Elephas maximus indicus: one gene and its partners. The protein of the gene in region 4 binds, or shares a complex with, the protein of the main gene of each other region. Links are inferred from orthologs where the notes say so. Each region holds a gene or a part of one and is shown on either strand. Other genes may lie near its edges.

Region 1 (7,078 bases), on a different chromosome or scaffold from region 4:
ATGCAACAGAATGTAAGTTTCTGGGTGTTGTCTAGGTGTTGCTGAGATTGCGTGTGTCTCTAGATACTGATGTGACGTGATGTGATGTATGTGAGTCTTTGTGTGTCACTGGGTGTTGGTGAGACTGTGTGTGAGAGTCTTTAGACATTGATGTGACGTGTGTGAGAGTTTTCAAGTGTTGTCTGGGTGTTGGTGAGATTGCGTGTGTCTCTAGATACTGATGTGATGTGATGTGATGTGTGTGAGTCTTTGGGTGTCACTGGGTGTTGGTGAGACTGTGTGTGAGTCTTCAGACATTGACGTGACGTGTGTGAGAGTTTTCGGGTGTTGTCCAGGTGTTGGTGTGGCAGGATGCAGGAGTCTCTGAGTGTTCATGTGACAGTGGATAAGTTTTTGGGTGCTGGCTGGTGTTGGTGAGGCCATGTGTGTGAATCTCTGGAGGCTGGTGTGACCGTGCGTGAAAGTCTCTGTGTATTCACGTGACAGTATAAAGCCTTTGGGGTGTCATCCAGGTGTTGGTGTGACTAAGTGCATGAGTGTCAGGGTGTTGGTGTGACAGCAGGTACATCTCTGGGTGCCGTCTGGTTGTTGGAATGACTGTGTGAGACCGGGTGTTGACAGCATGTACGTCTGGTTGTCGATGTGAGTCTTTGGGTGTCAGGTGGCTATGTGGACTTCGCTCTTTGCTATGACTGTGTTTGGAGACTCAGAGTTGCTGTGACAGAGTCTGTCTCTCTGAGGCCAGTGGAGATGGTATTGAACCTCTCGTGCAGGCCTGGCTGCGAGGGCAGTGGGGGCACACCTGGGTAGTGGGAGCCCCTGGAGTCCTGCATCCCCAGCCCCGGCTCACCACGGGCAGCAGTCGCAGGGTCGGGCAGCACCACGTGGGCGTGCAGCTCCTGCAGCTGCTGGTGCAGCAGGTCGAGGCGGCGCGAGGAGCCACGCAGCAGCAGCTCCACGGGGCCCAGGTTGCGACCTAGGTCAGTGGTGGCCCGCCTCAGGTTCTCCGCACCCTCCTTCAGCTTCAGCTCCTTGCGGATCTCTCGCCGCAGCCGCTCACGCTCTAGCTCCAGCTGCTGCTGCACCCCAGGGGCTGCCAGGTCCGCCCCTGCCAGGCCCAGCTGTTCCAGCAGGGACCAGTTGCGCGACTCACTCTGCAGGATGCAACAGGGTCAGTGGGGGATGGCTCTGGGATGCAGACCACCTTAGCCAACCTGGGCCCAGCCTCCTTAGGTACCCCCAAAGACAGAGCCTGCTCTACCTCCTCAGAGCCCCAAAACTGGGAGGTGAGAGCAGGGCCCTGTCCCTGCTTTCAACTCCCTCAAACTGTGAGGGCCCAGGGCAGGGCCTGCTCCCTTCCCCCATCCCTACAGACTAGGGGTCCCCAAGGGACAATCTTGTCTCTCTTTATCTATTCCTCATGCGGTGGGATTCTGGGAAGCAGACCCCACTGCCCCACTACTGTCCCCCCAAACTAGGGGGTCTCGAAAGTAGGCACTATTTCCCCTCTGCTGTCCCCCAAAGTAGGAAGTCCCAATAAGTGACCCCATCTCCTTTCTACTGTTCCACCCCAAATCAGAAAATCCCTAGGACAGGTCTTGTGGCCCTACTGCTATCCCCCATAAAGTAGGAGGCCGTGAAGGTAGCTCCCATCTCTCATCTGTCCTCCCCCTAAACTAGGAAGTCCTGATTACAGACTCCATCTCCTCTCTGCTGTTCCCACAAACTAGGAGGTCTCGAAGGTAAGCCCCAATTTTCTCTGCTGTCCTCCCAAACTAGGAGGTCTCAAGGGAAGACCCTGCCTACCCTCTGCTGTCTCCTCCAAACCAGGAGGTCCTGAGGTGAGGCTCGGTCTTCCCTCCCATTTCCCTACACAGGAGGTCTCAAAGGTAGACCACTGCCCCTCCGCTGCCCTCCAAACTAGGAGTTCCGGAGCAGAGGCCCCGCCTCCTTCCTCCTCTACCCCACAAACCTGGGAGCCCCAAAGGGCCGTAAATATTTCCTTCCTTCAAACTGAGAGCTCTGAGGCCAGGGCCCCATCTCCTTTCCTTGGTCTAAAAGTAAGAGGTGTGGAGGGCAAGGGCGCCATCTCTCACACACCCTAGCCTGTCCCATTTGGGGTCCTCTACCACCAGCCCACCACAGGTACCCGGCCCCCACCTCCAGCTCCTGGTCCAAAGGGGGACAGGGCTCCGCCATCCTGGGTCCAGGGTGAGGGCCCCGCCCTCTTCCTGAGCCTCAGCCCTGCCAGGGCCTCTCACCACCACTTCCTCTTTCCTGCCACCTCCCAGCACCCCCCGCGGCCGGCCAGCTCTGGGGCTCTGGGGCATCCAGGGGAGCTTCCCCTTAGCCCCACTCCAGGGTCAAGCCTGCTTCCCAGAGGCAACCAGGGGACTGTGCTCACTCCCTGTCCTGTGAAGGTGCCCAAGGTACACGGGTGTGCACTTCACTGTGTACATGGCAAACAGGCTTCCACAAGTGTATGCAGGCTCCAGGGACTGACTTGGATGTGTACATGCTCTCATATACCTACAGGTGTGCTCAAAAACACAGGCACACTCCCATGCCTATGGGTGTACACGTAGAACACAAGCTCCACGCATGTGTGCACACTCCCATGCCTATGGATGTGCACACAGAACACAGGCTCACACGTGTGCATACTCCAGTGCCTATGGGTGTACAGAAGGAACACAGGCTGAGTGCACATGTACATATCTACATGTCTGTGCACACAGCACAGACTCACAAGTGTGTGCACACTCCCACGCCTATGGCTGTGTGCACATAGAACACAGGCTCACACGTGTGCACTCTCCCACACCTGTGAGTGTGTTCATGGAACACAGGTTTCACAAGTGTGTGCACATTCTCACACCTACTCACATTTACACCTGCATGCACACACCTATGAGTGTGTACAGGAGTCACTGCAGAACCTGGACATACACACTTTCATCTGCCCGTGTGGACAAGCCTACACCCTCACACATGTACACATGCTCCCCACAGCCCCACAACCTGCCCACACTCCCAAGGGCCTGCAGCCCTGCTGACGGCTCCACGTGTCCCTCTGGCCAGGCCCCCCTGTCCCGCCCCCTGTCCCCGACTTCCCCTTTGGGGTTGGTACAGCAATTTCTGCAGAGGCGGGGCCCCTTCCTGCAGGCATAGGCTGTCTAACTTCCTGCTTCCTCCCAGTCCAGCTGCCCATTGCTGCTGACCACAGCTCTGAGGTCTGGGGACCCAGCCAGCCCAGTGCGTCTCCCTGAGACCAACACATTGTGGGGGACAGCACCGAGGGGTTAGGATAAGGAACAAAACCAGCAGCCCACAGACACTTGCTAACCACGCACTAATGCTCAGATACAACTATTAACCATAGTAGTTACTAGAAGCTCCACCCAGGTCAACTAATGCAACTCCTCGAGGTAGGCACTATTTTCACCACATCATCTAGATGAGGAATTAGGCCCAGAGGGTGCCGTAACTTGCCCCAAGGTCCCTCAGCCAGCAGGAGGCAGGCCAGGATTTTAAAAGGAACATCCAGTATCTGAGCACTGGCTAAGTGCTGCACCTGTGTTATCTCCCTCCACTCTGAGAACCCATTTCACAGATGAGGAAAGTCATCACTAGCTGCTGCTCAAACTCAAGGCCAGCTGCTCCCAAGAGAGGGTTTGCTGCAGGCCAAGACCACCCCTCGCAATAACCCTGAGTAGCTGCTATCATCCTCCCACTTTACAGGTGAGGAAACAGGCTTAGAGAGGTAAGAGCAGTTCTCAAGCAGGGGCAACTTCACCCCACCACCAGGGACACCTGGCAATGTCCAGAGATGTTTCTGGTTGTTACAACCAAGGGGTACACTACTGGCATCCAGTGGCTTGAGGCCAGGGATGCTGTTCAATATCCTATAACGCCCAAGACAGTCCCCCACAGCAAAGAACGATCCAGCCCCAAGCATTAAGAGGGCCGAGACTGAGAAAGCCTGGGTTAAATGACAGAGACTCAACCCCAGACCATCACTGCTCCTCAGTAGCTATCTGACAGCAGCCCCATCTGCCATGAGTGGCCCCGTATCTGTCTCTCTCCTCTGCAAACACCTTTTTTAGCCCATTTTTATAATGACAGAACGGAGGATGGAGGTTCAGAAAGGCAAAGGCACTGTGGCCAGGGCACACAGGAAGTGACAGCACTCACATACCCCCTCCCAACCAGGCCAGCCCCACACCCTCCCCAGCAGGCAGAGCAGGGGTACAGCCAGGAGCGAGGCCAGCTTAAATTGGGGAAGTCCAGGCAGAGAGGAGGAGTGCTGCTCTGGGCCCACCTCTGGCCACTGAGCCCTGAGAATAGGGAGGGAGGGCAGGAGGCCCAGCCTCCTGGGCCCTCCTCTCTGGGGTGACTCACTCCTACCCAGGGACGAGGGGTCACCTGAGGGCCAAGAAGGCAAACCCAGGACACAGGGGCCTGACCTGGCCTCAAAGAATCCCTGCTCCCCCTCACCCTGAAGCAGGAGGCTCCAAGCCGAGGGCACCCACTTCCCAGAACCCCCTCTCCCCAGAGCAGTCTGGGACCTAGACCCCCTTGTCTGGAGATTTCAATGCCTTGGGAGTTTCCGGAATCTGCACAGGACATCCGTTTGCCGGACACAGAATAGACAGGCACACATCGGGGAAGACAGAGGGACAGGGCAGCAGCCCAGGCAGCCACAAGAATGGAATTGTGGGGGGCGGGGGCAGAAAGCGGGGGAGCCAGGCACAGGTGGAGCCTCGTGGCAGGAATCACAGCCTTCATCTGGGTCATGTGTGGTACATGTCAAGCGCATGCACGCGCGGGGGAGGGGGGCTCCTATACAGCCCTCCTGGGCCGGGGGTGGAGGCAGGGACCTCGGCCCACCCCACCCCAAGGTCTGACCTTGTGTGATCGGCAACACCAGATACGCCCAGCTCCTCGGCAAGGCTGGCAGGCCATCAGCAGGACTGGGGGGGGGGGTATCATAGGGGATCATGGGGAGACACAGAGGGAATGGGGCAGGTGCAAAAGGAGATGAAAACCTGTTACACAGAGACCACAGGACAACCGACTGCATGGTGAGATGCTAAAGGGGCCTCTAGGCACAGGACATGTCTCAGACTTGGATCACTGAGCCAAAGAAAGTCGGAGATCAACCTGGCCCTACTTGTCCCAGAGGTGGAAGGTGAGTCCAAGGCAGTGATATCCTCAAGGTGGCACAGGGAGGCCAGGGGAGACCCTGGCTGGCAGCTTGGTGCCAGTCATGAGTGTGTGTATGTGTATACAGGGTGAACCTGCCCTGATGCCAACGGACGGCAGGTAGAATCCCAAATCCTGGAGCACTCCCTGTTGACCCGACACAGCCCACCTGGGTAAGGTCCCACCCCGCAGCCGGTACCCCGGAGATTAGGCTTGAGGGTCCCCCGTCCCCCCGACCTAATTAGGTGACTCGGGCATTTCTGCCAACAGGTGCCAATCTGGGTGGCGTCGGGACCATCGTAAATCTCAGTCCGGAGGCAGGGCCGCTGGAGCTTTGTTGTGCGGGGGAGGGGGAGGGGCCGGGCGGTGTCCTCCCTCCCCGGGCATCGCGCCAGCCACCTGCCCCAGGTGGAGAGCTGCATCTCCCGGGAACTGATCGCTGCGGAGGGGGAAGATGGGGGCCGACAGGTACCGGGACGCACAGCCAACCAACCACCCGAAGTCGCGCCTCCACCGCGCCCGCTCGGGTCCTCGGGGCCGGGCCGAGCTTGGGGTGCAGCGGGGCTCCTGGTCCTCCCTAACCCTCCCAGTCCGTACCTCCACCTGCAGAGAAGGGGGCCGCGCTGGCTCCGGGGTCCCGGCCCAGGGAAGGGGCACCGGGCGCTCGGAGGCCCCGCCCTGCCGTACCACTTTGGGGGCCCCGGCAGCCGCGGGCGGGGGTCCTGGCGCCGTCCGGCCGCCCCACCGCTGCCGACGCAGGTGCGCCTACCTGCACGGCGTCGCTGGCCATGTCCTCGCGCCGCCCGCCAGGGGTCCCCGCGGAGGGAGGGGCCGGCGGAGGAGCGCGCGTGCGCCCGGGCGGGGCTCGGAGGGGCTGCGCGGCGCGACCCTGGGCGCGCGGCCCGCTCCGGCCTGCTCGGCTCCGGCCTGCCCGGCCAGGCCGCCGCGTCCGCGCGCCGCGCCCTCGGGCCCAGCGGCCGGCCGCGTCACGTGACCGCCGAGGTCGGCGCCCGGGGAGGGGGCGGGGCGAGGGGGCGCGGCTCCCGGCGGCCCCTGGGGCTGTGGGGTCCAGCGTCTGCGCCCCCCTGACCGTCCCTCCCACGCTGGCCCTGCCGCCGGGTCCCGCGCTGAAGCGCGCGGGAACTTCCTCACCCTGCCTGAAGCAAAGGGCGAGCCGCTTCCAGCCGGGAGGGCCCTTTGGGCCTCCGGGGATCCCCTCGAAACCCAAAAAATAACAATAACAACTAACCTAACCCCTCCGTTTGCAAACTCAGGCCTCCTGGACCCATTCTGCTGAAGAGTCTGCCATTCAAGGGCACGGGAGCTTCCCCACTGCCCGAAGACAATCACGGTTCTGGACAGATCTGGGTTCAAATCCCTAAGGCTCAAGGACGACCCACACCCCTAAGGCGCCACATCTGAGGCATGGAAAGGGTTTACCCACTTCTGGGATTTGGTAAAATAAAGAGATAGTGCATGTCAAGTGCTGAGAACACAGTAAGCACTCAATAAATGTTAGCTGCTGTCATTTTTAATATTATTAGAAGGGGTTCGAATCTCAACTCAGCTGCTGACTCTAGGCCCTGTCGACCCTGTGGCCGCTGGGCCTTAGTTTCTCCCTGTAAAATGTGGACAAACCTCTTCTTGGGGGCCGGCTGTGAAGATTGATGGGGTCTGCAAGGAACCCCATATGCAGGTGGCGCTCCATAAATACGGGCTCTACCCTTGGGGAGAGCCGAGACCTCAGGGGAATTTCTCCAAGGTCCCCAGGATCCGGGCTCTGGGCTCCAGGCTTCGGGCCAGGAGCACTCCCTGGCGGTGGGTCCTGCATGCGGTCGGCGTCCTCCCGGGACCTGCTGAAATACAGACGGCT
Region 2 (7,551 bases), on a different chromosome or scaffold from region 4:
CATTAATATAATTGCCTCTAATGCTGCTTCATTAACATCATAGAGGTAGGATTTACAACACATAGGAAAGTCATATCAGATAACAAAATGGTGGATAATCACACAATACTGGGAATCATGGCCTATGCAAGTCGATGCACATTTTTGGGGGACATTTTTTAATTCAATCCATAACATCCACCTTGTGTCCCCTCCCCAAGAGCAAGGAGCTGTGTCTGTCTTGTTCAATACTGTGCCCTCCCTGCCAGGTACACAGTAAATTCTCTATAACGAGTTGTTGAATGAGTGAACGAACTACCCAATCCTGGATGTCTTAGTCATCTAGTGCTGCTGTCACAGAAATACCACAAGTGGATGGCTTTAACAAAGAGATATTTATTCTCTCACAGCCTAGTAGCTACAAGTCCAAATTCAGGGTGCCAGCTCCAGGGGAAAGTTTTCTCTCTCTTTTGAGTCTGGAGAAAAGTCCGTGTCATCAATCTTCCCTTGGTCTAGGAGCTTCTCCACGTGGGAACCTCAGGTCCAAAGGACAGGCTCTGCTCCTAGCACTGCTTTCTTGGTGGTATGTGGTCCCTCTGTCCCTCTGCTTGCCTCTGTCTCTTATATCTCAAAAGAGATTGGCTTAAAACACTATCTAATCTTGTAGATATCATCAATATAACTGCCGCTAATCCATCATAGTGATAGGATTTGCAACATATAGGAAAATTTCATCAAACGACAAAATGGTGGACAATCACACAATACTGGGAATCATGGCCTAACAAAGTTGACAGATATTTTTGAGGGACACAATTCAATCCATGACGGTGGGTCTGAACCATTCTTTCTCCTTCCTTGATTCCCAGGTCCTGCCTACCTCAGCTCACACCCCATCCCATTCTGAGCTTCAGTGTCCCTGTCTCGCCAGAGAGGAGTACTTAGAACTTTTCTTTTGGGAGTCAGGGTAAGAGGCTTGTGGTGGTGGCCCATGTCAAATGTCCCTTCTGGTTCTAAGGGGTCATGAGGTGCCCCAGCCTGACTGGACCATGAAGAGGCAGAGGAGGTCCACAGATATTGCTACAACCAGCCAGCAAGAGAATAAGAAGGTCTGTGGTTTCTGCAGTGGGGTGCCTCCCCCTCCACCCAACTCAGATTTGCATGCCAGTCTGGCCCTCACCATGTTTTGGCCCCACGTGTAGCCCAGTCATACCCCTAGCCTTTGCCTCTACTGCTCCTCCCAGCCTTGCTTTCTTGCTTCTCTGCCTGGTGAACTCCTGTTTGGCCATTAAGAGTTCAGTCTTAAAGTCACCTCCTCTGAGAAGCCCTCTCTGACCTCACTCCAGGTAGAGTTCTGGCACCTTCCTTGGCCTCATGCTCATGTGTCTATTTATAGCATCCCACATCAGGTTTTGTGATTCTTAGGCTGTTTGTCAGGCTCCCTGACTAATCCATAAACTCCTTGGGTGCCCGGGAGGCCTGCATTGGACTGGAGTCACTCCATGGATGGCTGTGGTATTCTTTCCTTTCTTGCTTTGCTCATTTCTCAAATACTTATGAGGCACCCACTATGTGCCACCCTGGGCTATGGCTCAGGAATGCAGCAGGGAGTGGGGTGGGCAACATTTTTGCTCAGGAGAGGCGGATGCTGTAAGGGAGTGAGCCAGATTAAAAAACAGTGAAGAAGACTGGCATTGGCAGGGTGGGTGCTGGGCAGAGAACAAACAATGATGTCAGGCCATGACTGGGGAGGCTGCTGGGGAGAACTGAGGGAATCATGGGGGAAAGATGCACCAGGCAGAGGGGACAGCAAGCAAAGGCCCTGAGCCAGAATCTGTATTGGTATGTTCTTGAGGTGAAATGACTAGCTCAAGTGGCCCATTTGAAATAGAATGCTCCAGGCCTCTTTCTTCCCTGAGCACCCAGAGTGGAACAGCCTGGATGGCTTCCTGTAGGAGGTGGCTCACAGTGTGTCCTTGAGCTTACCTTTCCTGGGCAGTTAGTGTGTGCCAGGCCCTGTGCCAGACACTTTCAAGCATGACTTCAGGGAGATCTTACTGTCCCTGTGGGACAGGTAAGTAAGCTGAGGTGTGGAGCTGTTCAGTGACTTGTCCAACATCTGGAGTTGGGAATTGAACCTGTGCCTGAGTCCAAAGATCAAAATTTTCCATCCCATTGCCTGGAAAGCGTATGTTATGGGTTAAATCGTGTCCCCCCAGAATGTCTGTCGATTTGCTAGCCATGATTCCTAGTATTGTGTGGCTGTCCACCATTTTGTGATCTGATGTAATGTGTTGTAAATCCTACCTCTGTGATATTAATGAGGCAGGATTAGAGGCAGTTATGTTAATGAGGCAGGCCTCAATTGAAGGTTGTATCTTGAGTTGATCTCTTTTGAGATATAAAAGAAAAGTGAGCAAAGAAGAGAGGGACCTCCTGCCACCAAGAAAGAAGCGATGGAGCAGAACATGTCCTTTGGACCTGGGGTCCTTGGGCTGAGAATCTCCTAGACCAGGGAAGAGTGATGACAAGGACCTTCCCCCAGAACCCGCGGAGAGAGAAAGTCTTCCCCGGGAGCCTGGGCCTTGAATTCAGGCTTCTATCCCCCTAGACTTTGAGAGAACAAAATTCTGTTTGTTAAAACCGTCCATTTGAGGTATTTTTGTTATAGCATCAGTAGATAACTAAGACAGTGAGCCAGAGATGCAGGAAGAGAATAATGATAATTATAAGGCTGCTTCACATCCTTCCTTATCTCATCTGGCCCTCCCCACTGGTGTGGGTGGGGCCCTGTGGGGTCGCCTCTGTTTTACAGAAGGGCAAGCAGAGGTCAGCCCCCTGCTCCAAGTGTTTTCAGCAGACCTGTCTGCTGGAGTCACAGGAGACCCCCATCAGGCAAGCCCACACCCATGCCTGCCCAGGGCAATGACTGACTCCTTTAACTTCTGCAGGGCCTTCCTGCCTCTCTAGCCTGTGGCTTTTCATTCTGGGCACTGGATGCCAGTGCCAGCTTGGTTGGTGGGGCCTGAAATCCCCTGAGGCTCCAAGTGGGAGCAGAAGGGAGAAGATCCAACCAGCCATTATAGATGAGCAGATAGGGCCCCAAGAGGGGAGGGGAGAGGACCAGGCCAAAGTGCAAGCCTGGATAAGAGCTTGGTCACGGCCTACTGAACTGAGTAACCCAAACCAAAAAACCAAACCCATTGCTTTCGAGTAGATTCCTGCTCATACCGACCCTACAGAACAGAGTAGAACTGCCCCATTAGGTTTCCAAGGCTGTAAATCTTTACGGAAGCAGACTGCCACATCTTTCTCCTGTGGAGGGGTTGGTGGCTTTGAACCAATGACCTTTCAGTTAGCAGCTAAGAACTTTGACCACTGGACCACCGGGGCCCCTGAACTGAGTAAAATGAATTGAGAGGTGCCACTCGACTCCCTTATACTCAGTTTCCCCATGTGTAGAACGGGAGAGGGGTCGGGTAGTAACGACAGCAACCGTTAAAGCTACTTTCCTTGCCTCTTAGCCAGCGCGGTGTCGCTCCCCCCGCACCCCTACACCCCACGTTGATACCGGCTGGAGGAGAGTGCATGTGTGTGGACGCGTGCAGCCCTTCCTATTCACTAAACAAATGCGTCCTGAGCGCCTGCGGACGCCTGTTCCGTCCTCGCGAGCAAAGCTCCGTGGCACGGGCTGCTGTCGCACTGTTTTACAGAGAGAGAAACGGAGGCTCAGGGTTATCGCCTGAGTCACCCCAGGTAATCCCCGCTGGAAAGGTGCAGTCAGGACGTAAAACAGGTTTCATCGGGGCGCGCTTTAGCCTCTCCACAACACCCTGTCTGCCGCCGCGCTGGGCCCCGGCCGGGTTGGCCGGCCGCGCTCCGAGATCTCAGGGTTTTCCCAGACAACACACCCCAGGTCGCGCCCCTGCACCTGGCGCGCTTGGGTAGGCTGGGGAGGGGGCGCTGCACGCGGGCTGACAGGTTCCCGGGAGGTGGGCGGGGCTTGGCTCTTGACAGGGAGCGGGAGGGTCCCGGCTCTGGACCCAGTAAAGCAGAGCCTGGCTGGGGCCTAGTTTCCCGGGCGGAGGGCGGGCTTGAAAGGCAGTGGGCGGGGCCTGATTCCGGGTGAACGGAGGTCTAGGCCTCTTGCTTGATAGACGGGGCGGGGCCTGGCGTCTGACGGGTCCCGAGACGCGCCTTGGAAACTGGTGGCCAATCAGCGCGCCAGGCAGGGCCTAATGCCGAACAGCCTGAGGCCGGGGCTCGGAGGTTCCCGGCGGGAAGTGAGCGGTGCTTGGTTCTTGACAAGCAACGGCAGGGGCCCGGCTTTAGAAAGAAGGGGGCGGAGCCTGGCTCGGCCCCGTTTCCCGGGTGGTGGGCGGGCTTGACAGGCAGTGGGCGGGGTCTGCAGCTGAACAAATGGGGGGGCGAGGTCTTGTGCTTGACGGGCAGGGGCGAACCTGGAGTCTGATAGGCTGCGGAGCGCGGCCTGGAGACGGAGGGCCAAACGGCGCGTGGGGCGGGGCCTGCGTCTCGGCGCCGTCTAGCTCGGCCCCTGAGGCTCTGCCCAGTCTGGCTACGGCGCCGCCCGCCGCGGTCGCGTCCTCCCACCGCCGCCCGTTTGCCCCGTCGCGCCCGGGCCGCCTGCCCGCCCGCCCGCAGCCATGAGTCCGTGCGGCCCCGACCGAGCCCGCCACCCCCTCGAGTAGGCCTCATCGCCGCGCCGCCGGCCCGCCTGCACCATGGAGTCGCCCGCCTCGAGCCAGCCCCCCAGCGCGCCCCAGTCCAAAGGTAGGAGCCAGCCGGGACCCGCGGTCGGATTCCCGCCCCCAGGCCGGGCCCGGGCCTGCCTGCAACCCTGGCCTCCTTGGGGGCCCACCCATCCGGAACTCGACAGCGCCTCAGGTTCTCAAGTCTGTCCAGTCCCGGATCCGACGCTGGGCTGGACCTCTTCTGACCCCCAGTGTGGACCTTGGGGCTGCACGCAGGCCTGGGAGCTCCCGGGGCTGACAGAGGCTGGGACCGCACTCTGACCCCCTCTCCTGTCGGGAATCGGGAACTCTCTCTGACCCGCAGAGTGGGCCTTAGGGCTGCATCCTGACCAGGGGACTCCCAGGCCGGGGTCCTTAGCGGGACCCAGGTGGGCCGCACTCTGCTCCCACCTGATCCCTTGGCTGTGTCCAGGTTGGTATTTAACTTTGATCCCTCCATCTGGACCTCAGTGAGTTCCCCTGCTGGGACCTTGCTGCATCCCCACCCCAGGCGGGTACGCTGGCTACACCTCAGCTCAGAACGGCCCCTTCACTGGCTGGCTCTGTCCCTGTGGGCCCCCACATTGCCCCATCCTCGCTGGCTGCACCGGGCTTCTCCCCAGATGCTTCTGCACCCTGCCCTACACCCCCCACCCTGCAACGCTGGTTCCGGAACCACTCTAGGTTCCTCGTTAATCTGTGGCCACTCTGAGGCCCCCACCCCCTCTGACGTTCGGCCCTTCCTCTCCTTGCTCCTATTGTACCCTCATGTGCCCGGCTCCACACTGGACCCATGGCTTCACTGCCAGGCACCAGGCTGGTTGCTGCCAGGCCTGTTTCGCCTGGCGGCCCGTGGGTCCTGGGCCAGCTGCCAGACCAGGGTGCTTACCTCGAAAGGGGCTTGCTCTGTCTTTTCCAAGTCGCAGGCCTTCCTGGAAATTTTTGTGAGGTGGCGGCCAGGCGGGATTTGTCATGCAGAGGGGGGAGGACGGGCCTGGAGGGCAAAAAGGGGATTTTTTTGCAGGAAGAGGAAAGGATGTTTTGGTGTGTCAGAATCTCAGCAGACTGGGCCGTGTGAGAGATTTCCAAACCGGACATAGTTGTGATGAATGGGCCACCTCCCCCAGCAGGCCTTTTAGTGCCTCTGGGCCTCAGTCAAAACCAGGGTAATCACACCTTCCTTCCACAGACGTGGCAGGGGGCACGGGTGCTGTGATGAGAGGTGATATATACATATGACAGTGCGTGTAAAGAGGTGGAAAATGTTGTGAAGAGCTCAGTGCAGTGCCCAGCACATAGTAGGTGCTCAGGAAGGGACAGGGCTGTGCGTATTTCTATTGTTGCAGTTTTTATTTTTAGAAAGGCCTCAGCCATGCAGGGTCAAGGACGTACCTCTGTTTGAATTGCAACTGTGGGGTGAAGCAGGTCACAGGAGCAGTTAGTGGTATCCTAATCAGTGCTGGAGGGGCCCGGGCTGTGGGAGGCTGTGTGGGGTCCGGGGGCGGGTGTGGCCCTGCCTGGCCCTGCTGCTGGTGGCTTCCATGGCTGTGGGCCAGAGCCCAGCTGGGTGGGCAGAGTAATTATGTCTTACATAAGTGGGAGGCTGGATCCCTGACCATTGCCCAACTGCGGTGAGTAACTTGGGAGGCACTCACTGGGGGAGGTGGCAGGGGAGGGGCACGCTCTGCACAGACCTCATGGAGCTTGGGAGCCGGTCAGCAGGACACTCCCCACTCAGGAGCGTGGTCTGGGCTGGCTTTGTCATGGCACACTGAGTTTTGCTAGCCTGTGCGCTCCTGGGTTGGAGGAACTTATCGGAAGCAATGTGTGTTTGGAGGCACTTTCAGCTATTCAAGGCAGGGGTGCCTCATCAAAATAGAAGTTAGAATTACAGGGCTGTGAAGGGAGAGGGGGCATGGGTGATGGGCAAAGGCCGGTGGGGAGGGACCCTGCTGGGTAACTTGAGGCTGACGCTGCCCTCTCTGGGCCTCTGCAGGGAGGCTAGGGTGTTGGTCTATCTGTGGATACAGGGAACAGGCGATGTGGGAGGGTTGGGCAGAAGGTCAGGGGCCTCCCCCATCAGCCTTTTTGGGGTTGGCACAGGATGTTGTGCCCCTTCTCTTTTCCATGTGCCATGCACCCTCTCATTTATGCTTCTCAGCCTGCGACCTCATTTTACAGATAAGGACACTGAGGTTTGGAGGCATTAAGTGCCTTGCCTGAGGTCCCCAAGCCAGGATGGTTGGAGCCAGGATTCTAGCCAGGACTGTGTGTCTGCTGTGTGGTCTCCCCCATTTGCCCCCACACCCCATTCTCATGCTGGATGCTTGAGCCCTGTGTCAGGGGGCATCTCCTCCTGGCCAGTCCCAGACGTGGAGCACAGAGTGAGGCAGAGGCCTTGCCTTTGCATGCATGCACAGCCCTTTACAGTTGGCACATGGCACACTCACTGCAGTCTGACTCATTTGACAGATGACACAACTGAGGCCAGACGTAGGAGATGCTGGACTGAATCCACAAGGTTGGGGTCCTGACCCAGTACCCTTCACATCCTGGGCACAGGGCCCCTAGCACTGAGCTCTTCTCAGTTTTCTCAGAAGAGCTGGAACAGAACAGGGAGGGGTTGGCATTTGACCTTGAAAGAGCTTTACCTTTGAGCTTCCGTTTCACCCTCCCTGTACTGAGATTCTCTCGGCGCCCTGCTGGTGGAGGGTTTTCCATGAATGCAGAAGGTCCCCCGACCTCCTTGCCCACATATTGCTGTCTTTCTGGCTGGTGGCTCTCGGGACAGTGTGCAGGGGCACGTTTCATAGCACGGCCT
Region 3 (7,953 bases), on a different chromosome or scaffold from region 4:
AACAGGTTTGGTTTTTTTTGGTTTAAGCCTGTATTACTTGTCAAAGGGGAGAACAGTGTCAACTTGTTAGCAACAGATTTTTTTTGAGGGTTGGTATGAGGAATAAATGAGGTCATGCAAGTGACAGAGGTAGAGTACAGGGATTACAGCCCTGGGTACATGTTGAGGTTTGGAACGAATCCCCAGAATCTACTAACCAGACCCGACCTTTCCGGTACAGTAGCCACCAGTCACAGGTGACTTTTGAGCACTTGAAATGCAGCTAGTTTGATTCGAGATGTGTCGTAAGTATAAAATATACATTGAGTTATTTTGAAGACAGTATGATAAAAAGAGTATAAAATGTCTCACTAATAAAGGCTTACACTGATTACATGTTGAAATTATAATATTTGGGATAGAAAATATTATTAAAATTAATTTCACCTGTCTCCTCTTACTTTTTAAATGTGGCTACTAGAAAATTTTAAATTATGTGGCTCACATCATATTTCTATTGGACAGCGTTGGGCTTGACATTGAGAGAAGAAGGTTCCCTTTGCTACCCAAGAAGTGAAAACTTAATCTACACTGTGAAACTTTCCGCTTGTAGTCAGGATTCTCTCAGAGACTCCCTCGTACCTTGCCTCTAGGCCCCACTCTCTTGCCTCACTTCAGTGCCCCCTAAGCACATGGTAGGAGTCCCTGGGTGGTACAAACAGTTAAGTAATTGGCTACTAACTGAAAGGTTGGTGGTTTGAATCTACACAGAGGTACCTTGGAAGAAAGGCCTGGTGATCTGATTTTGAAAGTTCACAGTCCTTGAAAACCTCATGGAGTACAATTCTACTCCGAAACACATGGAGTCGCCATGAGTTGACATTGACTCCACAGCAAACTACAGCAACAGGTTTGGTTTTGGTGAAGCATACGGTGAGAGTGTGATCTTCGTAAGATGAAAATCTGTTCTCATTGTTGTCCCATTGCTTAAAACCTTTTGAGGGCTCCCCCTGGCCTCTCAGAATAAAGGCTGTACTACTCAGCAGGGCAGTATGCTATGCCCTTCATGACCTGGTAGCTGCTACCCTCCCCCAGTGTTACCTCCTACCCCTTCCCCTCTCCAATTTCTTCTGCTGAGTTTCTGATACCTCCATGTCTTTAAATTTGCTCTTCCTGTTTCTGGGAATGTGCTACTTGTGCAAACACTCCCAAGTCCCCTCTACTATCCCACTCTCCTTTACTTGGTTTAATGTGATTGTCTGCTAAGACTCAGCTTAGCTGTTACATCCTCCAGGATGCCTTCCCTGACCTTTTACCTTCTTTCTAGGCAAAAGTGCTCCTCCTCTATGCTCCCAGCACTCTGTGCTTGCGTCTTTAAGAGCATTAACACATTTGATTTCTTGCTGGTTTACTTGTCTATTTCCCTCACTTGACTGTGAGCTCATTGAGGGCAGAACCTTGTTCTTCATCTTCAACCCCGGGACCAAGCCTCACGCCTGGCACACAGTACACTTTCAAGGGCTATTTGCTGAATGACTTGAGAAGCAGGTAAGGGAATTAACCAGGGATCATCAGCTCATGGATGGCATATTAATTAGGGCTCTTGTGGATGTAAGTGACTGTAACATCTACTCTGCCTGGTTTTATTGCCTTACATAGTTGAAAAGTCTATGTATTGTTTTATCTTTAGGTATGGCTAGATTTAGCAGTTCAACCATTGTCACCAAGATGTTTTTTTTTTTCATCTCTCTCACCTTCCCACTGTGATGGCTCCATTCCCAGAGAGGTTATTTCCTCAAAATGACAAGCTGGCTGACAAGCATATCCTCCCAGGTTCCACTGAAGAAGACAAAGTCTGCTACCTTAATAGTTTAAACAGAGAATACAATTTATTCCTATTGCTCCTGATTGGCCTGTTTGGGGTCACGTGCCCACCTCTGAAGTAGAAGTGGCCTACAGGTAGAATGCTCTGATGTACTCCGATCTGATCACGTGCTAAGGCCATGGAATTGGGGCTGTAGTGAAGTTTGCCTAATACCAAGCAGGGGCTGAAGGTAAAAGTTCCCACAAAGCAACATCAGGGTACTAGTTCTACCACAAAAGCAATAAAATGTTGTTTGTTCTCAGTGCCTTTTCTTTCATAAAAGTGGACATGTTATAAAACATGGGTCCAAAGAAAATGCATGTTCTCATAACTGTTGTTTTTTTTTTTTTTGTACACTGGCATTTTTAGGTACTCTGTAAAATGGGGTGTAACCCTGTTACATTTTTAAGTATTATAAACCAGGCAGATCAATTAGATATAAGTCAACTAGAGAGACAGTTCAGAGACAAAAAATCTTGCCATGCTTCTTAGGCCCTGGTATCTTTCCTGGCTTATAAGCTTACTCATGGAAAGTGGTAGAATTGTTTACTCATGGAAAATGATAAATCTGAAATCTTTCTGGTGAAATGGAGCTGTTTAGAGATCCTTGGTGCAACTTGGAAGAACAAATCTTTAGTGTCAGGAACATTCAGTTTGAGGACACCTCACAGTAGCTCTTTCTGTACTAATTCATTCATGCAAAACTTTCATTGAGTTCCTACTGCTGTAGGTACGAGAGAGAGAGAACCAAAAAAAAAAAAAAACCCATTGCCGTCAAGTTGATTCCGACTCATAGCGACCCTATAGAGAGAGAGGATAAAAAACAGACTTTAGGGAGCTTACGTTATACTTACATTATAGTGGAGCCCAGGCCAGCAAATAAACACACAAGATAAATAAGATACTTTCATATTGGGATAAATGCTATGAAAAAATTGGGCAAAATAAAGAGAGGAATTAGGTATGAATGGGCTACTTTTTTTTCTTCTTTTTATTGTGATGAAAATATACGTAGCCAAATATATACCAATGTAACAATTTCTACAAGTATAATTCGGTGACATTGATTACATTCCTCAAGTTGTATAACCAATCTCACTACCCTTTTCCAAATTATTTTACCACCATTAATGAAAACTTACTGCCTCCCAAGCAAAAATTCCCTCTTGCCCCCTCCCTCCCATCCCTGGGAACCACTAATAGTTTTTGGTTTCTATATATGCTTCCATGAGAGAAAGATGTAGCAGTCTGCTTCTGTAAAGATTTATAGCTTTGGAAACCCTATGTAGCAGTTCTACCCTGTCCTTTAGGGACACTGTGAATTGGAATTCCATGGCAACTTTTTTTTTGGTTATTTAATATAAGTGAGATTATACAGTATTTGTCCTTTTGTGACTGACTTATTTTGCTCAGCATAATGTTTTCCAGGGTTACCCATACTGTGGCATGTATCTGAACTTCATTGAGTGGGTTCTTTTTTACAGGGTGGTCAAGGAAGGTTTCTCTGAGGAAGACCTTTAAGCTGAGGCCTGAATGATGAGAAAGTTCCAGTCATGCAAATAACTATTCAGACTTCCCGCCAAAAGACAGAGAGCTCAGTGGTCTGGGGAATTTAGAGTAGACTCTTGCTTCTCAAAGTGAGGTCGCATACCAGCAACATCAGTACCCCTGTGAGCTTGTTAGAAAAGCAGAATCCCAGAGCCCACCTCAGACCTACGGAGTCAGAATTCACATTTACCAAAATCTCCCAGGTGTTCCATAGGCATAGTAAACTTTGAAAAGTGTCGGCCTCTCAACCCTTTCTGTAGCCCACTGGAAAGGTGTAAATCCTGCTGGGGTGGGGTAAGGAAACAGGGAATGGTGTCAGCAGTCACAAGAAAGACGACATGGTAACCATCTGCTGCTGCCACCTCCGAATCAGACCAGCCAGGCTCTAAGAGAAGGCTTTGAGATTATTAAAAGTTAGGGTCCAAGTGATTTTCTAGGATAGCCCCTTACTTTTTAGGAGACTAGGACACTGGGGATGTTTGGCCTTGTTTTTACCACTATGTGATCGTGAACCAAGAAAATATATTGACTGGAAGGAAATGGTTTGGTTTTGGGCCACTTGACCAAGAAACGTATGCTGCTGAATTAATTCCGACTCACAGCGACCCTATATGACGGAGTAGAATTGCCCCATAGGGTTTCCTAGGCTGTAATCTTTATAGGAGCAAATCGCCAGGTCTTTTTTTCCCCAAGAACGGAGCCGCTGCAGGGTTCAAACCGCCAACCTTTTGGCTAGCAGCCGTGCCCTTAACGATTGCACCACTAGGGCTCCTACCTAAGAAATAATAACAGTGAAATAATGGTTCGACGTGCTCGGCATATCCCCCCGCCCCCCAAAGCACATCAAAATAAACACATACCTATCAAAATAAAGAAGTTTCTTCGCGTACCAACTTATTGTCTCCTAGACTACCACTGGTACACCGATTGTAGCTTTTCAAAAGCACCAGATGATTTCTGCGGTCCTTTCAAACTTGAAGACTGTATGAATTTGTGGGATGGAGTTGCCAAAAGTTCACTGTCACAGTTGTGACACCATCACACCGCCGTCCGTCCCTCCGTCCGTCCATCCATCCATCCATCCAGACAAGCCTGGCTGCACACCTAGCCATGACTCTCCTGAGCGCTGGACACAGAAGACTAAACCGCACTTCCTGATTTCAAGGGCGGGGGGAGGTTGAAGGGTAAATCATTTCGGTTTGTGTGCTAAGCGCTACAGCTCAGGTAAGCATCGGGCGCACAGAGGAAGGGCGGTTTCCGGAGACAGGGCGGGGAGCTTTTTCAGAGATGTGGTGCGTGGGCATTTCCCAGGCAGCCTCTGCCAGCCTCACTACTTTGATGACTTTGCCGCCGCGGCTCAGCAGCGGCAGTCAACCTCAGCTTGCCTTAGCAACCTGAGCGCACCGCCCAGGCGCCTTCCTATTGGTCGCACGGACTATGATGGGCACCTCTGCCGTGTAATCCCAGTTGAGGCCTTCGGTTCCGCGCTCCCCGGCGGCCCAGGAGGGCTTGTAGGCGGTGCCGTCCTCCCCAGGTCTCCGCCCATTCCGGGCGGCTTGTAGCGCATGCGCCGGCGGTCAGGGGCTGTGTGCGGGGCCAGCTCAGAGCCGGAGGAGCCGCGGTGAAGCGTCTGGGCGCCGCCGGGACCGCCGTGCTCGTTTCTCGCCTCGGCTGCCGCCGCCTCAGCCGCCGCCGCCGCCGGGGGAGCAGCCACCTATTGTCTTTCTCCGCGGCGAAGGTGCGGAGCTGCTCCGGCTCGGCCCTCGGGGGAGCCCCGGGCGCCGCACGGTGAGAGCGCAACTGAGTTGGCCGAGTTGAGGGAACTTTCGTGATTTGAGGAGTGGTCCCGGCGAGGAGCGAGGGCCCCTCCCCTGCGGCTTGGCTCGGGGCGGGGGCCGGGAGGGGGGCGGGGGCCGGGGGCGGAGGGCTGGGCCGGCTGGAGGGATGAATGGGCGGTGCGGGCAGCGGCCCGGCCCCGCCGACCCCTCCTCCCTGCGCAGCCCCTCTCCTCCCGCATTGTCTGCTCCCGGGCCGAGGCGCGCCTCCTCACCCCGCGGCCCCGCTTTGGGGCCCAGTACGGTCGCCGATGCCTCTCGGGCGCCCCTGGGCCCCGCCGCGAGGCCTGAGCCTCGAGCCCCCGGGCGTTCCGGGCCGGCGCCGCCGGGGCAGGGAGCGCGAGGAGCCCCGGCACCCATGCGGTCGCTCGGTGGATCGCGCCGGTCCGACGGAGGCCGGGCTACCCCGGGGTCGCCAGCGACGCCGCGAACAAGTGCTCCCGGCGGGAGGGGAGCGGCTCCCCGGGGCGCACGGAGAGTAAACACGTCGGGCCGCGCTCGCGCCCTGCGCTGCGCCCGCCTGGGGGTGTGGGGGGGCCCTCGGGGCGCTCGGCCCGACCCGCGCGCGTCGGTGACGGCAGCGGCCGGGGAGCGTGCGACGGGCTCGCCTTTCCTCCAGGCTAGAGCACAGCCCTACTTTGAGCCCGAAGAAAACATTTTTATTATGTAAATATGGCTCGCTGACACTTTTTGTTTTGCAAAGCCTTCCAGTTGGTGAGGAGTTGAAAAATACTAAGAAAACAGTTTTTTTATTAAATAAAAAAATAGTTTTTTTTCTTTTAATTATTTAAACAGATCAGTTCCACTGCATTTAAGTTTCTAGACCTTACTGTGAACTCAGGAATTCACCATGAAAGTTAGATTGAGTAATATTTTGGTGTTCATTTTTAGCTTTTATACTCCTTACTGTGCGAGTTTATTGCCTTAGGCATTTATAACTAAAGTTAAAAGCTGTATGCTTCCCCCTCCTCCCTTATTTTTAGAAGCAGCAGCTTATTCAGTTTTTCTAAACTGTTGGATTGCCCAGATCAGAACAAATGCTGCAGTTCTTGAAAGGTCATTTTTTGCAAGTTTGTAAAGGCGTAATGATCGGCTGAGATAAATCACTGTTCTTGCACTCCGTGGTCTCTTGGGGATTTGCAGATCGCATTAAGTACAAGCCTTGATGTCTAGTTTTGGGTACATGGACTCCACCGAATTTTTCTCATTTGGCTTATACAAATAATTATGTTTTAATGCCCTAGATGGAATTAGCTTAAATGCCTGTGAAATTCGCAGTGGAAGTGTCTCAATTTCAGTTGTTGTATCGTCTCTTGAGCATCTGATAAGTTAAAAAGACAATTTGAGAAATACCGTGTATGTTAGTTTGCCTTGATTTCTCATGATAAGTGGGCAGTGTGGAGAAGTGTTCTTGGATTTTTCAGGTTTGCTTGGCCTCATTTTGCTTTGAGAAACCAATCTTCTTCATCTGATGAAGCTAAAGAAAAATTATCTTATGGCATTAATACTTTTAAACTACAGCAAAGTCACATTTAGGAGCGACAATTCCTACTCTACGATTGTGTGAGTGTTCGTGTGTGGGGGCGTGGGATCCTGGATTGACAGGTTGGAAGGGGTTGTCAAGGAGGGACTTAATGTAAACAAACACTCCTTCCAGCATAAGATGACAAGTAGGCTGGTTGCTTCCCTCCTCTGGGCTCTGATAGCATGTTATACATACTTTTGCTTTGGGATTTCTCACACTTCGTTTGTTTGACTAAGTGGTAACTGTACATGTAAGTGTAAATGGGCTCCTTGGCTAGTCTGTTAACTCCATAAGGGCTGTGATGGGCCTTATTTAAAAAGCTTTGTATCCTCTTTGCCAGGAGTCCGACAGTACTAGTGTTGAGTATGCCTGTGAACTGGGTGAGGTGCTTTTTTACGAGCTGGCGGTGGTGTGCAGTGTGCTGGAAGTGCACACAGGAGAGAGCCACTAACCCCCGGGGACTTGTCCAAAGTGGTAGTTCACTTGTGATGAAGTTTAGTTTACATTAAAAGGACTTCTAAACTTTTTTTTTTTTATCTGCTGATTGTCTCTTGGCAAGAAGTGGGGTTTAAATAATGCACTGTGGATTTCAAAAGGTGATCCCGATTTAGAATTTTTTTCCCTCTTCTTGGTGAAATTATTAAGACCACTGAACACATCCGTTCACATCACTGCCCAATTCTCCAATGCGAAATTGGAGGTAGAACAATTTATAAGAAAGCACATTCTTTGGAGCTAGGTAGATTTGAATTCAAATCCCCACACTTCCATTGACTCGTTGAGTGTCACCTTGAGTATGTCACTTCTCAGAGCTTCAGTTTCCTGCTCTGTAAGGATAGTAACATACTTTGCAGTGTTCTTAGGAATAAGTGAAACTATGTGAGGTACTTAGTACAGTATCCAGCATTTAGTAGGTGCCGAGACCTTGGGTGGAGCAAACTGCTTGGCTGCTAGCCAGAAGGCACCTTGGGAGAAAGGCCTGGTGATCTGATTCCGAAAGATCACAGCCATAAAAACCCTGTGCAGCACAGCTCTGTAACACATGGTGTTGCCCTGAGTTGGAATTCACTCCATGGCAATAAGTGTGTATGTATTACTTGGATAGGGTCATTATGAGTTGGAAACAACTTGATGGCGGTGGGTTTTTGGTTTGGTAGTTGTAATAATTTTGATACATTTTTACATGACTTAAAAGCATTCTT
Region 4 (7,171 bases):
AAGTAGAAGCACAGAGGTAGGGATACCAAGAGCCGTAAGGAAGCTGGTGTGGCTGAGAGTGGGTAGTGGGAAGATCATCCCCAAATTCACTCATTTGGGCCTGGTTGTACAGGAGTTTGGACTCTGGTGGGTGGGGAGGGGCCTGTTCTGGGCTGCCTGGAACAGGAGACCGGCAGAGAGACAGTCACCTAGTGCAAGCCTGGGGTCACCTTCTGGGTTGGCAGCAGCTGGCTCTGGGCCTGGGTCTGCTGGAAACAGTCCTGGCTCCTGGGGGCAGCTCTCGTGCACAGGTAGCCGGCAAACCTGCTCCTCTGCCAACCTTCCCCCCACCCCGCCCCGGAGAGTTTTAAATGTCACAACCTAGAAGATTTCCCTAGAAGAGGAAAGGCCCAGGCCCGGAGGCTTTGTCCCCCCGGTACCCAGGACAGAGAACCTGTGGGCAGAAAAGTCACTAGGATCCCAATTGCCATCTCTAGGATAGGGCTCTGCAGCCAGGGAGATGCTCCTTAGCTCATTGAAGAGAAAGCTTTCTGAAGATTATTATTTTGCAAGTAACACATGCTTGGAGGCGCTGGGTGGCACAAACAGTTAAGTGCTCAACTAGCAGAAATGTCGGCAGTTTGAACCCACCCAGAGTTGCCTTGGAAGACAGGCCAGGTGAACTGCTTCCAAAAGGTCACAGCCTTGAAAACCCTATGGAGCAGTTCTACTCTGCACAAATGGGGTCGCTGTGAGCCAGCATTGACTCAATAGCAACTAACAACAACAACAATAACGGTGTATGCCTATACACAGGTTAAGCATAAAATACAGGTTAACAACAACAATAAAAAGCTAAAAAATCCACTTACAACCCAACCATGAATTTGAAAGGATAATCTTTTGGATTTTTCAATGCATATATTAATAGGTTTATGTTACAGATAACATAATAGGAGCATACTACACGAAACACTTTACAACCCACTTTTTTTTTTTTTAATAATTTTTATTGAGCTTTAAGTGAACGTTTACAAACCAAGTCAGTTTGTCACATATAAGCTTATATACACCTTACTCCATACTCCCACTTACGAGATCTCCCCCTAATGAGTCAGCCCTTCCAGTCTCTCCTTTCGTGACAATTTTTCCAGTTTCTAACCCTCTCTACCCTCCTATCTCCCCTCCAGACAGGAGATGCCAACACAGTCTCAAGTGTCCACCTGATACAAGTAGCTCACTCTTCATCAGCATCTCTCTCCCACCCGCTGACCAGTCCCTTCCATGTCTGATGAGTTGTCTTCGGGAATGGTTCCTGTCCTGTGCCAACAGAAGGTCTGGGGACCTTGGCTGCCGGGATTCCTCCAGTCTCAGTCAGACCATTAAGTCTGGTCTTTTTATGAGAATTTGGGGTCTGCATCCCACTGATCTCCTGCTCCTTCAGGGGTTCTCTGTTGTGCTCCCTGTCAGGGCAGTCATCGGTTGTGGCCGGGCACCATCTAGTTCTTCTGGTCTCAGGATGATGTAAGTCTCTGGTTCATGTGGCCGTTTCTGTCTCTTGGGCTCATGGTTATCTTGTGACCTTGGTGTTTTTCATTCTCCTTTGATCCTGGTGGACAACCCACTTTTTTTATGGAGCTAGAATTCATATGCCATAAAGTTCACCTTTTCAAAGCGTACGATTCAGTGGTTTTTAGTGGATCCACAAGGTTGTGAAACCATCACCATTAACTACCTGCAGAATATTTTCATCACATGAAAAAGAAGCCCTGTACCCATTAGCTGTCACCCCCTACTCTCACTACCCTCATCTTCTGGCAACCACTAATCTATTTTCTGTCTCTATGGATTTGCCTAACCTGGACATTTAATATAAGTGGAAACATAGAATATGTGGCCTTATGTGTCTGGTATCTTTTACTCAGTGTAAGAAAAAAAAAATTTTTTTTTTCTTTTAATGTTTTCAAGGTTCATCCATGTTGTAGTGTGTATCAGTACTTCATTCCTTTTTTATGGCTGAATAGTATTCCACTGTATGGATATACCACCTTTTGTTTATCCATTCATCAGTTGATGGAGATTTGAGTTGTTTCCAACTTTCTGATATTAAGTATAATTCTGCTATGAACATTCCTGTACAAGTTTTTGAGTGAACATGTATTTAATTCCCTTGAGTATACACTTAGGAGTGAATCTCTCAGTTGTACGGGAACTCTGTATTCGACTTTTTGAGGAATTGCTAAACTGTTTTGTACAGCAGCTGTACCATTTTACATTCCCACCAGCAACACAGAAGGGTTTCAATTTCTCCACATCCTCGCCAACACTTGCTATTACCTGCCTTTTTGATTATAGTCATCTTAGTGGGGCAAGTAGTATTTCGTTGTGGTTTTGATTTACTTTTCCCTAATGGTTGTCTTGGAAGAAGTACAGCCAGAATGCTCCTCAGAAGCAAGGGTGGAGAGACTTCGTCTCACATACTTTGGACATGTTATCAGTACGGACCATCCCCTGGAGAAGGACATCATGCTTGGTAAAGTAGAGGGTCAGCGAAAAAGAGGAAGGCCCTCAACCAGATGGATTGACACAGTGGCTGCAACAATGGGCTCAAGCATAACAACGATTGTGAGGATGGCACAGGACCGGGCAGTGCTTCGTTTGGTTGTATGTAGGGTCGCTATGAGTTGGAACCGACTAGACAGTGCCTAAAACAACAACTATGTATTCATATAATACATAAATACTTGTACTAAAGCCTGGCACCTAGTAAACACTCTGTAAAATTAGTTGTCTCCATTATATTTCTTTAAATCGACTTCACATTTTTTACAAATCCAAATGCATGTTTTTTTTAATTGTGCTTTAAATGAAAGTTTACAGTTCAAGTTAGTTTCTCATACAAAATTTATACATACATTGTTATGTGACCCTAGTTGCTCTCCCTGTAATGTGCCATCATACTCCTCTTTCCCACCCTGTATTTCCCGTGTCTATTCAGTCAGCTCCTGTCCATTTCTGCTTTCTCATCTCGCCTCCAGACAGGAACTGCCCACTTAGTCTCATGTAAGTATTTGAGCTAAGAAGCATGCACTTCACAGATATCATTTTATGTCTTATAGTCCAGTCTAATCTTTGTCTGAAGAGTTGGCTTCTGGAGTGATTTTAGTTTGGGGCTATCAGAAAGTCCTGGGGCCATGTCTTCTGGGGTCCCTCCAGTCTCAATCAGACCATTAAGTCTGTTCTTTTTACTAGAACTTGAGTTCTGCATCCACTTTTCTCTTGCTCCGTCAGGGACTCTCTGTTGTGTTCCCTGTCAGGATGGTCACGGGTGGTAGCCGGGCAAATGCACGTGTTTTTAAAGGAACTTTTATATTAATACCTTAAGTGGAAAACCAGGTCACTTGCTCTGAGAAACAGTTAATGAAAACAAATCCGCGGTATCAAATTCTAGTCAGATATTGTGGCCAGTGGAGGAGACTAGACAGTGTTAGACAAGGAGCACTAAACGGAGATGTCTCTCCTGGACTTAAACAGAAAGATGGAAAGAAAAATGAAAAAAGAGGAACTTCACCGTCACATGACTCCTTTCTATGTCATGCCTGGCTCAGGGTCACCTAACATGTAACCCATCACACTCCGGAAACGCTGTTCAGGGAACTGAGCTTTGCAATTTTAAGGCTTTAGATGGCTGTGGACTTACTGACTCTTCTTTCTTTTGGACTTACTGACTGCCTGAAGGTGCACTGATTAATACTGACACCAACAGCTTTTCATTTCACAGGATACCACCGTGTGTGTGTGTGTGTGTGTGTGTGTGTGTGTGAGAGACAGAGAGAGGCAGTGTGTGTGGGCGAGTGTGTGTGACTATGTGTTTGTAAGAGTGTGTAAGCGAGTGTGTGGGACAGTGTGTTTCTGTGTGGGGGGAGAGTGTGTGTGTGACTGCATTTGTGAGACTGTGTATGTGTGTGGGTGCGCGCGCGTTGGAGGGGTGTTCCAAGACTCCCTCGTCCGTCTCCTAGTTCAAATGTGACGGAAGAGAGATACACGCTGGCCGGCTCTCCCAGCCGGTGTCAGTCACCCAGCCTAGGTGAGCTCCTGCCGGCGGGGAGGCGGGCACTCCCAGGGGGTGCGGCCCGCTCGGGCCGAGGAGGGCGGAGTGGGGAGCGCAGGGGCGGAGCCGGGCGCCCGCGCAGCCTGAGCCCGAACCGAAGCCGGAATCGTGGCCCAGGCCGGGGTCGAGGAACCGGGCACCGGCGGCTTTGCGGTGAGTGCTGGCTCAGGGCGCGCTACCTGCGCACCTGCGCCCAACACCTGGGCGGCGGGGAGACGGTGGGCGCCGAGGATCCCGCCTCCCGAGTCTGACACCTGGCTCCAGAGCCGTCCCAGCCTTTGGGTTTGTAGAGGGGCTGCCTCGGTTTCCCCTTGGTGAGCTCTGAGGAGTAGATGGGGGGCGGAAGGAAAGGAGGCGTCTCCAGGGCGGGGAGCCCCCAGGCGGTCTGCGGCTACAGAGGACGTCCGAGAGCCCCCAGGAACCTTTGAGATTAGGGGACCAGCTGACTTGGGGAGTCGCGTGGTTGGTGGGCGGGAGGATGTGAAGGCCAGAGGCACAGGGCCCCGCTTGGGTATGGGAATCAGAAACAGCTTCAGGTCTCAGTGGGGGCCACTCTTTGCCCAGTCCTTTCCTCTTTCTGGGCCTCAGTTTCCCCAACTTTACCAAGCCTGTGAGTGTTTGTGAGTCTGCCTAGCTGCTCCCTAACACCTCCTTGGGCTCTTTAGTTCTCGTAAGAGTCCCTGCGTCCTCTGCCCCACCCCCTTCCGTGGGTGTGAGACCCCAGTTCATCCCCCACCCCTGCCCAGACAGGCCCACTCCAGGCTTGTCCAGAGCCCTCCCCTCTGCCATATGCCCTCCCCTCTGCCGCTGTGTTGGTGGAGCAGCCATCCGGTCCTACCAGCTTTCCCACAAACTAAAAAAGCCTCCCCAGCTCCCCTGGGGAGGGTCTCCCTTAGCTGGAGGAGGGCTGGCAGCTGGACCCCTGGCTCTGAGTCTGCCCTTGCCTCTCTTGCTGTCTCCCAGCCCTGTGACATCTCCCTGCCCAAAGCTTCTGTCTCCCCATGGGCTGTGGCCTAGCCTCCTCCAAGGTCCTTGTTGCACAGAGGGCAAAAGCCTTCCCCAGCACCGCTACTGTACCCCTAACTTGGCCCTTGGTGAAAGAGACTGGAGAGGCACTCCCACGACCCTTCTCCTATCACTCTGCTGGTTTGCTGGTCACTCAAGGCCCCTTTGCCTCTTGGTGTATTGGGATCTGAGGCAGAAAGGACCTTAGCTCACTGTGGCCTCCAGCCCCGCCCACCAAGTGCAGAATCCCAGCTGAGTGCTGGCCCAGCCTCTGTGGCACATGCCGGTGGCGGGGAGCTCCCTACTTACAAGGTGCCTTTTCTGAGTCCTGCGGCTCTCCTGACATTTAGCCAAAATCTGCAGGGTGCGGCTTCCACCTGGGTCCCACCTGTGCCTCCTGGAACCTTGCAAAGTAAAGTCACCCATTCATTCAAAAAATCCTTATTGATGCACTGAATGAGACATGGGGGATATAGCAATGAAGCACACAGACAAAACTCCCCGTTCCTCGCGGAGTTCACATTCCAGGAGTGTGTCAGGCAACGATCAAATAAGTCCATACATAGTGTGTCAGGTGGTGAGAAGTCCTACGGAGAAAACAAAGCAGGAAAGAGGGTCAGGAGGTGCTGGGCTTGGATATTGCAGTTTTAGATAGCGTAGTTGGGGAAGGCCTCTTCAAGACAGTGGCCACTGAGCAAAGCCTTGGAGAAGGTGAGGGGTGAGCTCTGTGGATCTCTGGGGGGAGGGAGGGCATGTGCAAAGGCCCTGAGGCAGAAGCATGATGGGAGGGAGCAAGCCTGGCTTGTTCTAGAAATAAGGAGGCCAGTGTGTGTGGCTGGCTGGAGCAGAGTGGGGGAGGGGGATTAGTAGGAAATAAGTTCAAGAGGGTTGGGAGAGGGGGCGTCCAATGTGTAAGGCTGGAAGGTCACTGTAAGGGTGTTGCTTTGTACCCTGAATATGACGGAGGCCACTGGAGCAGGGAGGCAGCTGCTCTAACTTAGGGTTTAGCTGGTTTACCTGGCTGTGGGGGGGAGGATAGACCAGGGCGGTGAGGGCAGAGGGGAAGACCAGCGAGGCGACCCCAGCTGCTATTCAGAGGCGAGGCCATGGAGCTTAGGGTGCAGCATAGCAGTGGTGAGAAATTACCAGATTTTCAGATTTGGGATCTCTTTTGACATTAGGGTTAATAGGATATGGGGTGTGAGAGAAAGGGTGCAGTCAAGGAAGATGCCGAGGTTTTTGGCTTGAAGTACCTGGAAGTTTGGAGCTGCCATCAACAGATGGGGAAGCTGGTGGCAGGAGCTCTTTAGAGGGAGATCAGGAATCTGGTTTGTATTTTTAGAATTTGAGATACTGATTAGACATCTATCTGAAGATGTCTAGCAGGCAGTCGGGAAATAAAATTTGGGGCATCATTACTATATAAACCCCAACCACTTGCTGTTGAGTAGACTGACTCATGGTGACCCTGTGTGTGTCCGAGTAGAACTGTGCTCCACAGGGTTTTCAGTGACTGTTTGGAAGGCCACCAGGCCTTTCTTCTGAGGCACATCTCAGTTGACTCAAACCACCAATCTTCCTGTTTACAGACAAGCACTTAATTGTTTGCACTACCCAGGAACTCATATCACCATATAAACCAAACCTGTTGCCGTCAAGTTGATTCCGACTCACAGCGACTCTATACGAATGAGCAGAACTGCCCCATAGGGTTTCCAAAGCTGGCTGGTGGATTCGAACTGCAGCCGAGTGCTTACCCACTGCACCACCAGGCCCATCATCATGAAAACCCAACCAAACCCATTGCCATCGAGTGAATTCCAACTCATAGTGATCCTATAGGACAGAGTAGAACTGCCCCGTAGGGTTCCCAAGGAGCAGCTGGTGGATTCAAACTGTTGACCTTTTGGTTAGCAGCCAAGCTCTTAACCACTGCACCATCAGGGCTCCCATCACCATGTAGCTGATATTTAAAGCTATAAGATCAGGTGAGCTCACTTAGAGAGACAGTGATACCTGGAGAAGAGATTACAAATTCACAACTCTCCCGGACTTTAGCATCCAGCTAAGGAGACT

The links.
Region 1: NOD2 (region 4) and PKN1 share a complex: the UniProt entries of both Homo sapiens proteins name them as parts of the signaling complex. The link is inferred for Elephas maximus indicus from reciprocal best matches to the Homo sapiens genes NOD2 and PKN1.
Region 2: NOD2 (region 4) and MAP2K3 share a complex: the UniProt entries of both Homo sapiens proteins name them as parts of the signaling complex. The link is inferred for Elephas maximus indicus from reciprocal best matches to the Homo sapiens genes NOD2 and MAP2K3.
Region 3: NOD2 (region 4) and AKAP13 share a complex: the UniProt entries of both Homo sapiens proteins name them as parts of the signaling complex. The link is inferred for Elephas maximus indicus from reciprocal best matches to the Homo sapiens genes NOD2 and AKAP13.

What each region holds. Positions count from the first base shown.
Region 1 is NC_064821.1:33,038,727-33,045,804, reverse strand, and holds the start of PKN1 (serine/threonine-protein kinase N1), read right to left. Parts: upstream 3,002-7,078; 5' UTR 2,200-3,001; coding exon 2,161-2,199; intron 1,155-2,160; coding exon 851-1,154; intron 1-850. UniProt on the Homo sapiens protein: PKC-related serine/threonine-protein kinase involved in various processes such as regulation of the intermediate filaments of the actin cytoskeleton, cell migration, tumor cell invasion and transcription regulation.
Region 2 is NC_064820.1:216,261,541-216,269,091, reverse strand, and holds the start of MAP2K3 (dual specificity mitogen-activated protein kinase kinase 3), read left to right. Parts: upstream 1-4,548; 5' UTR 4,549-4,721; coding exon 4,722-4,770; intron 4,771-7,551. UniProt on the Homo sapiens protein: Dual specificity kinase. Is activated by cytokines and environmental stress in vivo. Catalyzes the concomitant phosphorylation of a threonine and a tyrosine residue in the MAP kinase p38.
Region 3 is NC_064831.1:80,886,832-80,894,784, reverse strand, and holds the start of AKAP13 (A-kinase anchor protein 13), read left to right. Parts: upstream 1-4,944; 5' UTR 4,945-5,179; intron 5,180-7,953. UniProt on the Homo sapiens protein: Scaffold protein that plays an important role in assembling signaling complexes downstream of several types of G protein-coupled receptors.
Region 4 is NC_064839.1:17,194,092-17,201,262, forward strand, and holds the start of NOD2 (nucleotide-binding oligomerization domain-containing protein 2), read left to right. Parts: upstream 1-4,164; 5' UTR 4,165-4,243; intron 4,244-7,171. UniProt on the Homo sapiens protein: Pattern recognition receptor (PRR) that detects bacterial peptidoglycan fragments and other danger signals and plays an important role in gastrointestinal immunity.